2 linked regions of the Canis lupus familiaris genome follow. The protein of the gene in region 1 binds, or shares a complex with, the protein of each later gene. Links are inferred from orthologs where the notes say so. Each region holds a gene or a part of one and is shown in the gene's direction. Other genes may lie near its edges.

Evidence for each region.
Region 2: the proteins of CAPZA2 (region 1) and S100A1 are in contact, whole or in part, in an NMR structure (PDB 2KBM), measured with the Rattus norvegicus proteins. The link is inferred for Canis lupus familiaris from reciprocal best matches to the Homo sapiens genes CAPZA2 and S100A1. Residues at the interface, in NP_001009180.1 of Rattus norvegicus: Thr267, Lys268, Ile269, Asp270, Trp271, Asn272, Lys273, Ile274, Leu275, Ser276; in NP_001007637.1 of Rattus norvegicus: Ser44, Phe45, Leu46, Asp47, Lys50, Asp51, Ala54, Lys57, Ile58, Glu61, Leu78, Ala81, Leu82, Thr83, Ala85, Cys86.

What each region holds. Positions count from the first base shown.
Region 1 is NC_049235.1:55,949,213-55,955,994, forward strand, and holds the end of CAPZA2 (F-actin-capping protein subunit alpha-2), read left to right. Parts: intron 1-2,146; coding exon 2,147-2,209; intron 2,210-3,319; coding exon 3,320-3,460; 3' UTR 3,461-4,821; downstream 4,822-6,782. UniProt on the Homo sapiens protein: F-actin-capping proteins bind in a Ca(2+)-independent manner to the fast growing ends of actin filaments (barbed end) thereby blocking the exchange of subunits at these ends.
Region 2 is NC_049228.1:43,417,974-43,425,699, reverse strand, and holds the start of S100A1 (protein S100-A1), read left to right. Parts: upstream 1-3,945; 5' UTR 3,946-4,067; intron 4,068-6,001; 5' UTR 6,002-6,013; coding exon 6,014-6,154; intron 6,155-7,427; coding exon of another isoform or gene 7,428-7,435; exon of another isoform or gene 7,436-7,450; coding exon 7,451-7,594; 3' UTR 7,595-7,726. Other genes in the region: S100A13 (protein S100-A13), read right to left, coding at 1,429-1,506, 2,028-2,118, 2,355-2,514, 7,428-7,435. UniProt on the Homo sapiens protein: Small calcium binding protein that plays important roles in several biological processes such as Ca(2+) homeostasis, chondrocyte biology and cardiomyocyte regulation.

The sequences.
Region 1 (6,782 bases):
CCCTTTGTGCTGCTTTTTAGAAATGCATTTTTTACTTTATTTTACAGGGTTTTCTTTTCTCTCTTTTTTTTAATGTTTTTTGGACAGAAAAAAATGCATGTTATAGGAATGGAAATACATATGTGTAAATATATATTATATAAAGTAAGATATTAGAGAATTTTACATCAACACTTTTATTAAAAAGTCTAAATTTCTAACTTTTTTACTGTTAGGAAAAAAAGCAAAGAAACCCATATATTGGAATGTTAAAGTTTTTCCAGAAAATATTTAAACACTATGGTAAATTCACCTTAAGCTTTAAAATAAGCTTTTCCTAATGTTTTTTGAAATGTATCATTATGGTGGTAAATACCATTCAGTACATATTTCATAATACTTAGATACAGTAGTAGTTAATTAGAAATTTATGACTAACTTCTTATAACTGTAAAGATTATCAAATTCCTATTAAGTGTTATAGTGGAGTTTCTCATCAATATGTATTATTAAGACTTTGCTGTCCTTAAACAGTGAAACCAGGCTCATTCTGTAGACTTTTAAAAATACTTGTGCCTAGTTTCTCTTGGACTTAAAATAACTGATCTTATTTGTGTTTTCTCTTTATCATACTTTCCATTTGTGTTATTTATTATAGTAAATCATTAACCACACGTATATTGACATGCCTATTTAAAATAATAGTGGTGTACACAAAAATAAACTCAAAATGTATTAAAGACCTAAATGTGAAACCTGAAACCATAAAAATCCTAGAAGAGAGAAGAACACAGGCAGTAATTTTTTTGACCACGAGATTAGGAACATTTTTCAAAGTGTGTCTCCTAAGACAAGGGAAACAAAAAGCAAAAATAAACTGTTAGGATTACATCAAATAAAAAGTTTTGGTACAGTGAAGGAAACCATCAACAGAACAAAAACGGTAACCTATTGAATGAAAGGACATATTTGCAAATGATATATTTGATAAGGGGTTAATATCCAAAATATATAAAGAACTTAGACAACTTGGCACCTAGGTGGCTCAGTGGTTGAGCATCTGCCTTTGGGTCAGGTCGTGATCTCAGGGTCCTGGGATTGAGTCTTGGATCAAACTCTCTGCAGGGGAGACTGCTTCTCTGCCTGTGTCTTTCCCTCTCTCTCTGGGTCTCTCATAAAAAAAAAAAAAAAAAAAAAGGTAGACAACTCAACACCCAAAAAACAAGTTTTTAAGAATGGGTGGAGGACCTGAATAGACATTTTTTTAAAGACACACAGATGGCCAACAGACACACGAAGAGATGCTCAACATCACTCAACATGACTGAAATGTAAATCAATACTACAATGACATATCACCTTTCACCTGTCAGAATGGCTAAAATCAAAAAGACAAGAAGAAATATTTAGTGTTGGCAAGGATGTGGAAGAAAAGGAACCCTCATGCGTTGGTGGGAATGCAAGCTGGTGGCCACTGTGGAAAACAGTATGGAAGTTCCTCAAAAAGTTAAAAATAGAAATACCATATGATTTAGTAATTCCACTGCTGGGTATTTACCCAAAGATGATGAAAACATGAATTGGAAAAGATCTAGGAATGTTTATTGCAACATTATTTCAATAGACAAGATATGGAACCAATCTAAGTATCCACCAGTAGACGAATGGATAAGGAAGATGTGGGAGACATACACACAGTTGTATATCTATAATTCTATATACATACACACAATGGAATATTACACAGCCATAAAAAGGATGAGATTGTGCTATTTGTATTTCACTTATGCTAAGTGAAATAAGGGGGGGAAACAAACAAAAAGCAGATATAAATACAGAGAACAAACTGATGATTGACAGGAAGCAGGAGTGGGAGAAAGGCAAAATGGTGAGGAGTCATGGAAAAATAGGTTTCTAGTTATGGAATGAGTAAGTCACGGGAATAAAAGACACAGTAAGAAATATAGTCAATGATACTATAATAGCATTGTATGGTGACAGATGGTAGCTACACTTGTGAGCATAGCATAGTGTGCAAACTTGTTAAATCACTATGTTTGTTGTACAACTGAAACTACAGTAACACTCATTTATACTCAAATGGGAAACTTAAATAGTGGTGTTGTTTTAAAGTAAATAGTTACTTTTTGTTTTGTTTTTCATTCAGAATGAGGTGCAGACAGCAAAAGAATTTATAAAGATTGTAGAAGCTGCAGAAAATGAATACCAGGTATGTTTTTCAAAAGTACATGATTTATATTTGCTTATAAATAATGGCACTGAAGTTTTAATACTGAAGTTTATAACTGAAGTTATAATAATGGCACTGAATTTCAGTTATGAGCCTGAATTTTTTTCATTTATTTCACTATAATAAAACAATCTTTTTTGGGTTTTTTTGTTTACTTGTTTTTAATTCAGTGGCAAACTTATAAAAATGTGGCCAAAATTCAGTTTTAGCCAACAGTAATATCTGAGTATTGGTCATAATATGCCAAGATTTTAAATGGTTATTTTGTTTTTGATTGGAAATTTTAATTTATGAAGTATTTCCCAAAGTATTTAGATTATGTGTAATCTGGTCAGATCTTATTTCACTTTATACTCTTATTTTTTACATTTTTTTTATCAGCTTTTAAACCGTACTCTTGAACTTACACATTTAATTTGTGGATTCGCCACATTTCTGCTTCTTGGAAACAATAATATATAAAATTGTTTTGAGTGAAATAGTAAAATAGATCCAAAATGAGAACACACAAATATTAAATCCAATTTACAATTTCATTTCATTAAATTATCCAAAACAATTATAGGCTTTTTTCTTTTAGGAGGTTCTGGCTGGCTAAGTCAGTATAGCACATGATTCTTGAACTCATGACCATGAAATCCAAACCTGAGCCAAGAATAGGAGTTGGACACTTAACTGACTGAGCCACCCAGGCGCCCCTCTCTTAGCTGCTTGGTTTTTTTTTTGTTTTGTTTTGTTTTTTTTAAGATTTTTTTTAACTTATTCATGAGAGACACAGGCAGAGGGAGAAGGAGGCTCCCCGTGGGGAGCCCAATGTGGAACTTGATCCCGGGACTCCGGGATCAAGCCCTGAGTGGATGGCAGATACTCCACCTCTGAGCTACTCAGGCATCCCTTTTAGCTGCTTTTTAAACAGTTTCCAAAACCACATTGGGGTTTTTGACTTTTTTTTTTTTTTTTTTTTTTTTTTTACTTTTTAAAAACAGTGAAATAAGCTGGTTAAATAAAGGTTTTTCTAAAACATCTATGTGTTGTATAAATTGATCTGTTCCTTTTATTTCTTAAACTTTTAACTACTATTTTTCATAGACCGCCATCAGTGAGAATTATCAGACAATGTCGGACACTACTTTCAAAGCCTTACGTCGACAGTTGCCAGTTACACGCACGAAGATTGATTGGAACAAGATCCTTAGCTACAAGATTGGCAAAGAGATGCAGAATGCATAAGATGAACATTGCATGACCGGATCATTTTAATGTTTTTGCGTTTAAAAAAAAAATCATTGCAAAAAGTATTCAGAACTGTCAAGCTACCCAGTCAGATGGGCTGTTGCCATTTAAAATCACTGTAATTAATTAGTTTGGTTAGAGCACAAAGCTTAGCTAATCAACCGTTATTTTTCATTTCTTTTGTTCAAAGAGGACAATTAGTTTAAATGTCTTTTACTTTCTGTTATACCTTTCTTTCTTATAATTAAGAGATGATTCCTCTAGTTTAATGTTAAAAGTTTTTGAAGTGTTTCAAAAATATTTTACTTATCGTAACCCTAAAGTTGTTGTCTTTTGGTTTACGAAGTGGGCAACTTTTGATATTTGCCCAGTTCTTTTTAATGGGGTTAATAATGGACATTCTAGTTTAAGGTGGTTGATGGATTTAGCCATATATGCTGCTAAAGAAATTGTCTACCTTTTCCCCTCACCTCTTCCATTTATGTAAGATTGAGATTAGAGGGAAAGCATTTTCTATATCAATTGTGTTTGAACTTTGAAGAAGGTTATTTAGCTAGCTTAGTGTTTAACTAAACTTTTTTTAAATGAGGCCAAGGTCTAATGCTGTTTTGAGATTCTGAAATTAAATGGAAATACTTATTTCAGAAATGCATTTAATGCTTTTTTTCTTGTGACAGTTACGCAAATTAGCTTGAACTCCATATGTCCCTGAGTTATTTTTATCATAAAGCCACAAATGTATTATAACAAGGCAAATTGTAATATATATAATCCTGAACTCATGACCATGTCTCAGTTTATTTCTTTTCTTGGATTGAAAAGTACTGAAATTCAATGTGACATTAAAATGGAAATTTTCCTATTTATTTGAGTAGAATATCCCTTATCAGTGAGTCATATACTATTTTAAAATACTTTCTTTGGATATTGTGATTCTTAACTGGTTGTAAATTAGAGAAGCTGGGAGTACATATGGTGTGCATTACAGTCTAAATTTTTCCATCTTATGCATCATAAGCGTGTTTGTAATATTTTAAAATATACATTTACTGATGCTACAGGAATTTCAAACCTGTGGTGAATGTTAATATTTACTATAGAGAGTGGGGTGGATTTATGGTTTCATTCAATCGAGTATTGCTTACTATACTCCAGTGGAATCTCTTCCTCACATACTCTTGGAGATGTCTGGGCCTGGAAGTGTTTTTTTAAAAACACCACTTTTATTATGTACAATAAAATATTTCATTAGCTTGAATTGTATAGAATTTAAAACTTTTCTCAAAGCATGTCATTTAATTTCTTTTTAAAAATCAGGCTTGGGCTTTGAAAACACTGAGAACTTAATATGAAATTTGAGTTTGGTTAAATTGTTTTCTCTTAGTTTTGCCATATTGGGATTTCTGAAGAAAATGAATTAGCAATGTTAATTTTCTCTTCCCTTTTTAAATAGGCATTTTCCAAAGTCATGATTCTGAACTGAACACTAGGTAAATCTTTAATTGGCTTGTTCAGTCATATCATTTGGACTATCGTGGGTTTTATCCCCTACAGGTCAGTTACTTTGGATGTTTTATGGCCCTAGAATGTGATCTTGAAAATACATGCATTTGTCTTTAAGGTGATGATTTAAGGGTGAAGTACAGAGGCAAGGGTAAAATTAGGGGAACAGTTAGGAGGCTACTGCAGTAATCTAGTTGAGAGCAAATGCTGACCTGGTCTGAGGTGGTAGCTATAGTCTATAGAGGTGGTGAGTTCTGGATATGTGTTAAAGGTAAAATAAAAAAGATTTGCTGAAAGTTTGGTTGCAGAATATGAGATGAAGAATGCCAGAGACATTTTGGGGTTGAGAAATTGGGGGAAATTCAGGGTCAGCAGAAGGGTTGGTCAGGAGCTCAGTTTTCGATTTCAAGGGGAAATACCATGTAGCAGTTAGATACTGAAAACAGGAGGTAGAGTGGTCCTCTGGGCTGAAGAAACAGTGGAATGAATGGACCTGGGTCACAGGGTTTGGTAGCCAGGCAAAATGAAGTCCAACTCAAGGTTAGTGATGATGTAACGTGACACCAAGGGAGTCCGCTCTGTTAAGCACGTTAAAGCTGCACGGTGCAGGCACAGAGTAGAGGAGTTGAACCAAGGTTGTGGTTTTGCCAAGAGAGGCTGACTCACCATGGGAACGGGGCAAGGTTGCAACGATAACCTCTAAGAACGTAAGCTTAGGTAAGGGAGAGAAATGAGGCCAGGAGAGGAGCAGAGAAAGTGTGGCACAATCAGTAGATTACATAGGTTAGAGTTAGCGTACTAGAAAGCAATGAGTGGTGGTTAGGGTGATGTGTTAAAAATTGAGATTTTGAGGAGTTATACTTACTCCTAATGATATTAGGATCAAGGGAGTGACTGGCTGAGGTAGGAGAGGAGAGGAGTTCAAGTAGCTGTGAAGCCTGGGGTCGCTATGGGGTACTGAAATCAAGAATTACGGTAGAAGTAAGTATTCTGACATGAGTGCTGTTTTTCAAGACTACATCTCGACATTTATAATACATTTGTATGAGTTAAGTAAATAATATGGTAAAGATACTCATGAGGTTTTTCTTCATTTGGGATTTTAGAAACTAAAATGAGAACAGAAGCATATATAAAAAGGTATTCTGGAAGTCCTGGTTCATTAAAAATGTTCTTGAAAAGTGAAATTCTTAGGAAACTAATTAAAGATGACTAGAGGTCATTCCATTGCTTTTGGGTGGCATTTTCTGTGGTTAAAATAATTTTTTTACTTAATTACACCAAAAGCTTTGGAATGATGCAAGATCCTTTGAAAAGATCTTCATGCTGATAATCATTTTGTGCCTTTGCCAGGTAGTGGGTATAAAATATAAAGGCATATTTTGCCTGCAGGTAACACAGGTGTTTTGTAATGCATGTGTGTTGTGAAACATCCCAAGAAGAATGTGCATTTCTTTTCACTTCCCTAGGTTAGATATTTAAAAGCAGCATCGCAATGTACTTGCTATTCCTAAGTTTAGTATTTTTGTCCTTGAAACTGAAAAAATTTTAAAGGCATGACTTTGTATAGACATCTTCACATTTGATATTCTGAGTATTATGCAAAAGCTTTATTGTAGGATTGACCAGTGGTGCCAGCTATTGGAGAATATTCAAAATATTCAATTAAAATTAAAATAACCAGTGAAACTTTTAAGGTCTAATTGGTATTAGAAATTAACGTCAAATCATTTAAGATTAATCACACTGTTTCCAGAGAACCATTCTAGGCATTGTAGAGTCAGGAAAATATAAAGTTATTTCTTTAAAGAATCTA
Region 2 (7,726 bases), on another chromosome or scaffold:
GTCGAGTCCTACATCGGGCTCCCTGCGAGGAGCCTGCTTCTCCCTCTGTCTAGTCTCTGCCTATCTGTGTGTGTCTCTCATGAATAAATAAATAAAAATCGGGCAGCCCAAGTGGCTCAGCGGTTTAGCGCCGCCTTCAGCCCAGGGCGCTATCCTGGAGACCCAGGATTGAGTCCCAAGTCGGGCTCCCTGCATAGAGCCTGCTTCTCCCTCTGCCTGTGTCTCTGCCTCTCTCTCTCTCTCTCTCTCTCTCTGTCTCTCATGAATAAATAAAATCTTAAAAAAAAAAAAGACAGTGATTTCGTAAAAATAAAATAAAATAAATAAAAATCTTAAAAAAAATAAAGATTTCGAGACAAGTCAACCCAGTGTACCAAGTATACTTCAATTTTAAAAATAAATAATAAAATTAATAAAGTGGGACAAGTCAACACAGCAGCACCTTTTTCTGCAGCCAGATTTAGCTACACAAGAGCAAACGCAGAATGGTTTGTAGATTCATTGACTGGGTTTTGTTTTGGGTTTTTCTTTTTTTTTTTTTTTTTTTTTTTTTGAGAATGGAAATGTTTGCCTTATTTTGGATCTGAGAAAAAAATGATAGATTTAACCATCAAGTTAATGCAGGTGAAATACTGGCCTTAACCTAGATTAAGGGATCCCTGGGTGGCGCAGCGGTTTGGCGCCTGCCTTTGGCCCAGGGCGCGATCCTGGAGACCCAGGATCGAATCCCACATCAGGCTCCCGGTGCATGGAGCCTGCTTCTCCCTCTGCCTGTGTCTCTGCCTCTCTCTCTCTCTCTCTGTGACTATCATAAATAAATAAAAATTAAAAAAAAAAAAATTAAAAAAAAAAAAAAAAAAAACCTAGATTAAGACTGTCAAACAATGAGGACAGGGAGAAATAGAATCAAGGGAGCTGGGATCCCTGAGTGGCTCAGCGGTTTGGTGCCTGGCTTTGGCCCAGGGCGTGATCCTGGGGTCCTGGGATTGAGTCTCACATCGGGCTCCCTGCATGGAGCCTGCTTCTCCCTCTGCCTGCGTCTCTGCCTCTCTCTCTCTCTCTCTCTCTCATGAATAAATAAAAAAATAAAATCTTAAAAAAAAAAAAAAAGACTCAAGGGAGTTGATTGAGCCTTAGGACCCCTCTGGGTGAGAAGAGAATGAGGACAGGCGGGGATTGCATGGGAAAGAAAATGTGGTGGTCCCCACAGAGTCGGGGAAATGCTGGAGTGGATGAACAGAGCTGGAATGGCAGGTGGTGGTGCTCACGGAAAAAGAGTGGCTGTTCTGAAGCAGGACAGAATCTTTGAAGGTGAGGGGTTGATGAAGTGTGAAGGCCCAGGTGTTGGATGAATTTTCTGTGTGCAGACCGAGGGCCACAATGAAAGCAGTGGTGAGAAACTAACTGCAAGGCAGGAGCTGAACTTACAAGGAATGTAGGAAAAGGGGGGCAGGTGGCCCATGAGCTTCCAAGGAGCTGTGCATCTTAGGAAGAAGAAACCAAGATCTGGAAGCAGTGACAAAAAGCAAAGAGGTCACTTCTTGCATCTCCAGGCCCAGAGGGAGTTGGAGGGAAAACCAGTCATTATGTGGTAAGGCCGTAGGGAATGTCACACCTCCTGTGGAGTCTCAAGTCTCCTGGAAGAAGACGAAGGGAAAGGTCTGAGAAGTCTAAGACTGTAGGGGGTTTGTGGATGATAGACTGAGCTTCCAAGACTAGTTTTTTGTTTTTTGTTTTAATCCATATGCACACACTTCATTTGCCAGTGAATTCTCAGAAAGGGTGTAAAAGAAACTGTTAACAGCCTGGGATGATTAGGCAACCCAAGTGGACGAACTCTAAATTCCTACTCTGTCCACCAAGTGGGAGAGAAAGAATGACCTTATCAGGGTCATTATTAAGGGGATTCCCAGAGGGAGTGAGAAGTAGCCAATGGTTACTTACAGGTCCCTCCTACCCTGAGCTTTTATCACTACTTTATTATTTTTGGCAAATCCCTTTCTGCAGCTGGGCCTCAGTTTCCGTACATGTGAAGTGAGGCGTTTGGACTGTCTTCTCTTGGCCTCCTTCTAGCACTGATGGTCTACAACTCTCCCAGAAGCACCTTTGGGTCCACTCCTATAGTGGGGGAATGAGACCAGAGAAGCACAGAGTAGACACAAGTGCCCACAGCACCATTTGAGGGTAGCACACTTGCATGCTCACCAACACAGCCACTGAGCTACACACACAGTCACTCAAACCCTGTGTTCACAGTATTGTGTCAGGAATATCACCTCACACCCACAGGATCCTGTAGCCACTGTCTCCTAAAGTCTCAGGCCCAGAGACGCCCACATAAGACCCCCACATACCTTGAGCAAGTGAGGCAACTGCTGAGTGACCAGTTCCCTAAACTCATGGATGCTGAGGCTGCCCTTCCGGCCCTCCTGCCCTGCAAAGGTGAAGAAGGTGGTGACCACTGTCTCAATGGCGGCCTCCAGCTCCGTCAGGGGCTCCGCTGCCATCAGGACTCTGCAGGACAGGAAAGGAGGGAAAGGCAGAGTCAGAACAGACCCAAGGGAGGGATCCCTGGGTGGCGCAGCGGTTTGGCGCCTGCCTTTGGCCCAGGGCGCGATCCTGGAGACCCGGGATCGAATCCCACGTCGGGCTCCTGGTGCATGGAGCCTGCTTCTCCCTCTTCCTGTGTCTCTGCCTCTCTCTTTCTCTCTCTCACTGTGTGCCTATCATAAATAAATTTAAAAAAAAAAATTAAAAAAAAAAAAAAGAAAAAAAAAAAGAACAGACCCAAGGGCCCCTGCCGGGGCATTGCCACCTCGGCCGGCCTGGGAGAAGAATTACAGGGAAGCAACGGGGAGGGGGCGGGGACAGGGATGGAGATGCGGAGCAGGAAAGGGTGGACGCGGCGGGGGAAGGGAGGTGGCGCTCAGAAACTGGTTCTCCCCAGCTCCTGGGGACCCTCTGCGTGGTCTGAGCGGAGGCCCGGCGGAGTGGCCTCTCCGTAGGCTTCAGTCCCAGGGCTCTTCCTGGGAGGCTCCTCCGGCCCCCGGAGCCCAGGAGGCTGTCTCCTGGCCTGTGTGCGCAGGGACCCCTGCCACCCCGCCCACACCCGGGGTCAGGCCTGGGGACCCCGCCCGGCGGCCTCTTCCCGCCCTCCCCTCCGAGCACTGCCCTCCTGGCTCAGGGACGGCCCCGGGCGCAGCGCGGGGACGCGGGACTTACGGCTGCCGGGCCAGGGGCAGGTGGGCGGTGGGCGCCGGGACCGCAGGGACCGCAGGGACCGCAGGGCGGGAGGCAGCAGAGGCCCGGCCCGGAGGTGTCCTGCCTCCGCCTGGATGCTGGAGGGAGTCTCCGCCCAGGCCCGCCCCGCCCCCGCCTCCCCGGCTCCCCCGCCTCGCCTGCCCCCAGTGGCCCCCCGTGGCCCCTCAGCCTCCGGGTGCGACCTCAGCAGGGGGAGGCGGTAGGGAGCCGCTTGGCCCTCTCCGCTCTGCGGCCTGAAGGACTGAGTGTGCGGTCCGAGAAGCACCGCAGAGAACCCCCCCCCCCCATGCGATCCTGAGAAGGACCTCGCAGCCCAAGACCCCTGAGAGGGGGACCCCGCTGAGACCTCCGCGGAGGAAGATTAGGACTCAAACCTCTGAGGGGGTGTCAGGCCGGGGGCCCCCCAGCCAGACTCCCGAGATGAAGTGATTGACGGAGAGGCCCCCTTCCTGAGAGCCCTCGTTAGGATCAGGATCGTCCCTCTCCTGTCTGCCAGGACCTTTCCCACCTCCCTTCCTCCTGTCCTCCCGGGCCCTGCCTGGGGGACCGTGGGGGAGGGGAAGCCAGTGAGGCTGGACAGGACACAGGGCAACCTGTTCCAGCTCGGGAGACAGAGGGCGCCTCTGTCCACTCTGGGCCCCTTGGCCCCCTGGGTGTCTGTCTGGGAAGGGGTGGAGCCGGTGGGAAGGGGGGGGCAGCGGGAGAAGGCCTGAAGACTAGTCTCCCCACACAGCTCCGTTAACCACATTTGCAGACTGTCCATCTGTCCAGAACCTGCCCCCACCTCAGGTCCAGGCTGACTGACGGTGAGTGTCCTGCACCCTGTGTGCTGGGTCTCTGCTGTGGCCAGCTTAGGGGGAGAGGGGGCTTGGATGGGGCTCCCAAAGTCTGGGGTGGGAAGAAATGGTCTGGGAAGAGTTCCAGGGACAGCAGTTTGGGATTTGGGAGAGACAAGGTGCGGATGGTAGTGCAGGGAAGCCAGTGGAGGTCAGAGGGAGGTGTGCAGTGTTCCTCAGAGAACGAAGAAGCCAGTGGGGAAACCAGACACCAAGCTTCCTTGGAGCCCTCCAAAGTTCCCTCAATCTCCCAGGGGCTGGGGGTGGGGTGGGAAGGGCAGCCCCCACATTGCTTCCAGTTGGGTAAGCAGAAGAAAGCAAATGGAACTGTTGCTTCTGCCCCCACCTGACCGTCCCCTAGCCTTGCCAAGAACTCAGGTCCCAGGGAAGTCTGGGGGTGGCAGAGCGTGGACCACGTGAGATCAAGAGGAGGGGGCATTCAGGTCCTGCACCCACTCCCAACTCTCCTCTCACATGACCTTGCCTTTCCCCTCCTCCTTCTTTGGCCCAGATTTCCAAACTCCTCTTTCCTTCAACTCTTTCCTTTTGTTTTGCTGTGTGCCACCCCCCACCCCCTGCCCAAGTCCTCTCCAAATGCCCCCCACATAAAATCCCAGGCTGCTCAAGTGCCCCTACTGGATGGGGCCAATAATGGGGCCACCGACAGCCAACCTCTTCTCTCCATCAGCCTCAGCTTGGGTTCCATCTCCCCACATCTCTTTGACAACTGTTCCTCGTGTCCAGAGTTCAGGTGACACTCACAAGGCTCCCATTGTAAAGATGGAATGTCATTCGATCAGGGCCCATTGTTCAGCCCTCAGGCCTGGGGGAGGACAAAGACATTTGATCTGAGATACCAGAGCTGTCCCCTGAGGCTGCAGAGGGGATGACCATCCCAAGACCAAAAGAAAGAGACCCAGTGGCATGGCAGTCCCCTTCCTCAACAAAGCCTTCCGTGTCCCTCTTCTCACCAGCCTCTGGAATTCAGAGGACACACTCAGCCTTTCATGTCCCCCAATACATGGCTCGATTCTCCTACAAACTGTCCTCACATCATCCAGGCTGGGCCTAGGTGGGGGAGTGAGCAGCAAGAGGGACCAGGCCCCAGAGGCCTCCTCTCACCTTCACTGGTAGCCCTGGCTCTGGGGAAAGGCTTGGCCATTCCTCTCTCCCTTCCCACCATCACTTGATGTAAGGCCTGATTCTGCAGAGAAGTAGGAGGAACCAAACTAGAGGTAATGGAGGTGCACCCCAGCACAGCTGAAGCGACCTGTTGAGGACAGAGCAGAGTTGAAAGACCAAAAGAGGCCTGTCTGCCAACAGGAAGCTTAGAGGCAGTTAGATCCCCCTCCTGCATGAAGCCTTAGGCCAGCCACTCTGGCTGACTCCATCAGGCTGGCTGAGGGCGTCAGACTGATTCCTTGCTAGGAGCAGACAGCAGAATCAAGGCTGTGGGGAGGAACGAAGCCCACCACCCTCAGCAGCAGAGCTGGGCTGTGCTAGGCAAGCAGAGCAGAGTAAAAATAGAGCCAGAGAAAGCTTGGCAGTGTCCTGTGACCACTCCCGCCTGCCTGCCTCACCCTCCTCAGTGTCCACCTTGGCAGCCAGGAGCCACTGCAGAGGCCACTGGAGCCACTGCAGAGGTCCAGAGCTGCTCCACCTCCACCGCCCAAGCCCTGAGTCCCTCTGGCTGGGATATGGATTGAGGGAGAGAACAAGCCTGGAGGTAGGCCTGCTTGGGTTCCCACATTCTAAAGTCTCAGTGAGAGATAAAGTGCAGTGTGGCTCTGATCTCATGGCGGTTTCAGGTAAGGGACCAGGCCAGGTCTGAGGGCTCCCCTCACCCCAACCTCAGATACCCTGAGCATGGTCCCCTACTTACTTCCATGGTGGGGGGTGGGTAGGTGAGCTACGCAATGGGCTCTGAGCTGGAGACAGCGATGGAGACTCTCATCAATGTGTTCCATGCCCACTCGGGCAAGGAGGGAAACAAGTACAAGCTGAGCAAGAAGGAGCTAAAGGAGCTGCTGCAGACTGAGCTCTCCGGCTTCCTGGACGTGAGCACAGGGCAGGCGTACAGGGTGGTATGGGTGAGGGGAGGAGGAACACCTGGGGACCTCTCTGCCACCTTCCCACCCCACCCCCAACCCACTCCAATCATCTTCTTCCTCTGCCAGACTTCTCTCCTGGATTTTTCTGGGCTCCCATACTTATCTTGTTTCAAGACAAAAATACCCTAATTTGTTCATCTCCTGTTAAGTGCTAGAACCTGTGCAGATGCATCATTAAGAAGGCTCACAGTCTAGGAGGGAAAGACTGACATGAAAGTAAACCATGAACACTGGGAAGTGAACTATTGAGGACAGAGCAGTTGAAGGACCAAAAGAGGCCCCCAGTCTGCTGGCAGGAAACTCGGAAGCAATTAGACCCCCTCCCCATGAAGTCTCCGGCCAGCCACTTAGGAGCTACACAGAGCATTAACAGAATTGCCCGAAAGGATTATGGGACAATAGTAACCTGACTGAACGGGGCTTCTCCAAAGACGGGGCACTTGAGCTGTGGATTTCCTTTGGAATATTATTAGGGTAAATGTAGGCATTTTAGGAGGTATCTGCATAAACAAAAGCATGAAAAAAAAATATGGAGCACGCTCAGTAGTTTTGACCCGAATGAAAGATGCAGAAAAGTAGGCTGCAAATGCTGACAGGGGCTCTATGATACAGAAGCCAGTAGTAAGTGTAGTAAGTGCACCAGCTTCGAGGTTTTATCAGTCCTGGGGTTTCGGTTCTGATCCTGTCACCTTCCAGCTGTGTGAGTTGGGCACATTATTTAACCACCAACTGTTAATTTGTTTATTCCTCTAGCATTTGTGCTAGAATTAACAATTTTACAAGACAATGCTTGTAAAGCTTCGAGTGTACTACTCTTATATAAGCACTCACCATACGGTCATCAATGTTGTTATTACTCTGCCTTGTTAAGGAGCTTATTTGGTGGGTAACAGAAGGCCACAAGTGTTAGTTGTTTTTTGTTGTTTTTTTTTTAAGATTTTATTTATTTATTCATGAGAGACACACAGAGAGAAAGGCAGAGACACAGGCAGAGGGAGAAGCAGGCTCCATGCAGGGAGCCCTACGCGGGACTTGATCCCTGGACTCCAGGATCAGGCCCTGGACTGAAGGCAGCGCTAAACCGCTGAGCCACCTGGGCTGCCCAAGTGTTAAAGAGGATTCAGAACAGTCCCATAATTAGATGTAGTTCTCCCTCCTTCCTCCCAATCACCCACCTCCCTAGCCCAATTCCATACTATCTATCTCCCAATGTACCCACCTCTCCATCTCCTCCCTCCACAGGCCCAGAAGGATGCGGATGCTGTGGACAAGGTGATGAAAGAGCTAGATGAGAATGGAGATGGGGAGGTGGACTTCCAGGAGTATGTGGTGCTGGTGGCTGCCCTCACAGTGGCCTGTAACAACTTCTTCTGGGAAAACAGTTGAGCAGACACCCCCAGTGGCCAGCGTCCTTCCCCATCCCCCTGCTTCCCTCCCTACACTCCTACCCTTGCCCACCCTCCACCAAGGGCGCAAGAGTAGTGGGCCAGGCCTGCAACTCATCTTTCATTAAAGGCT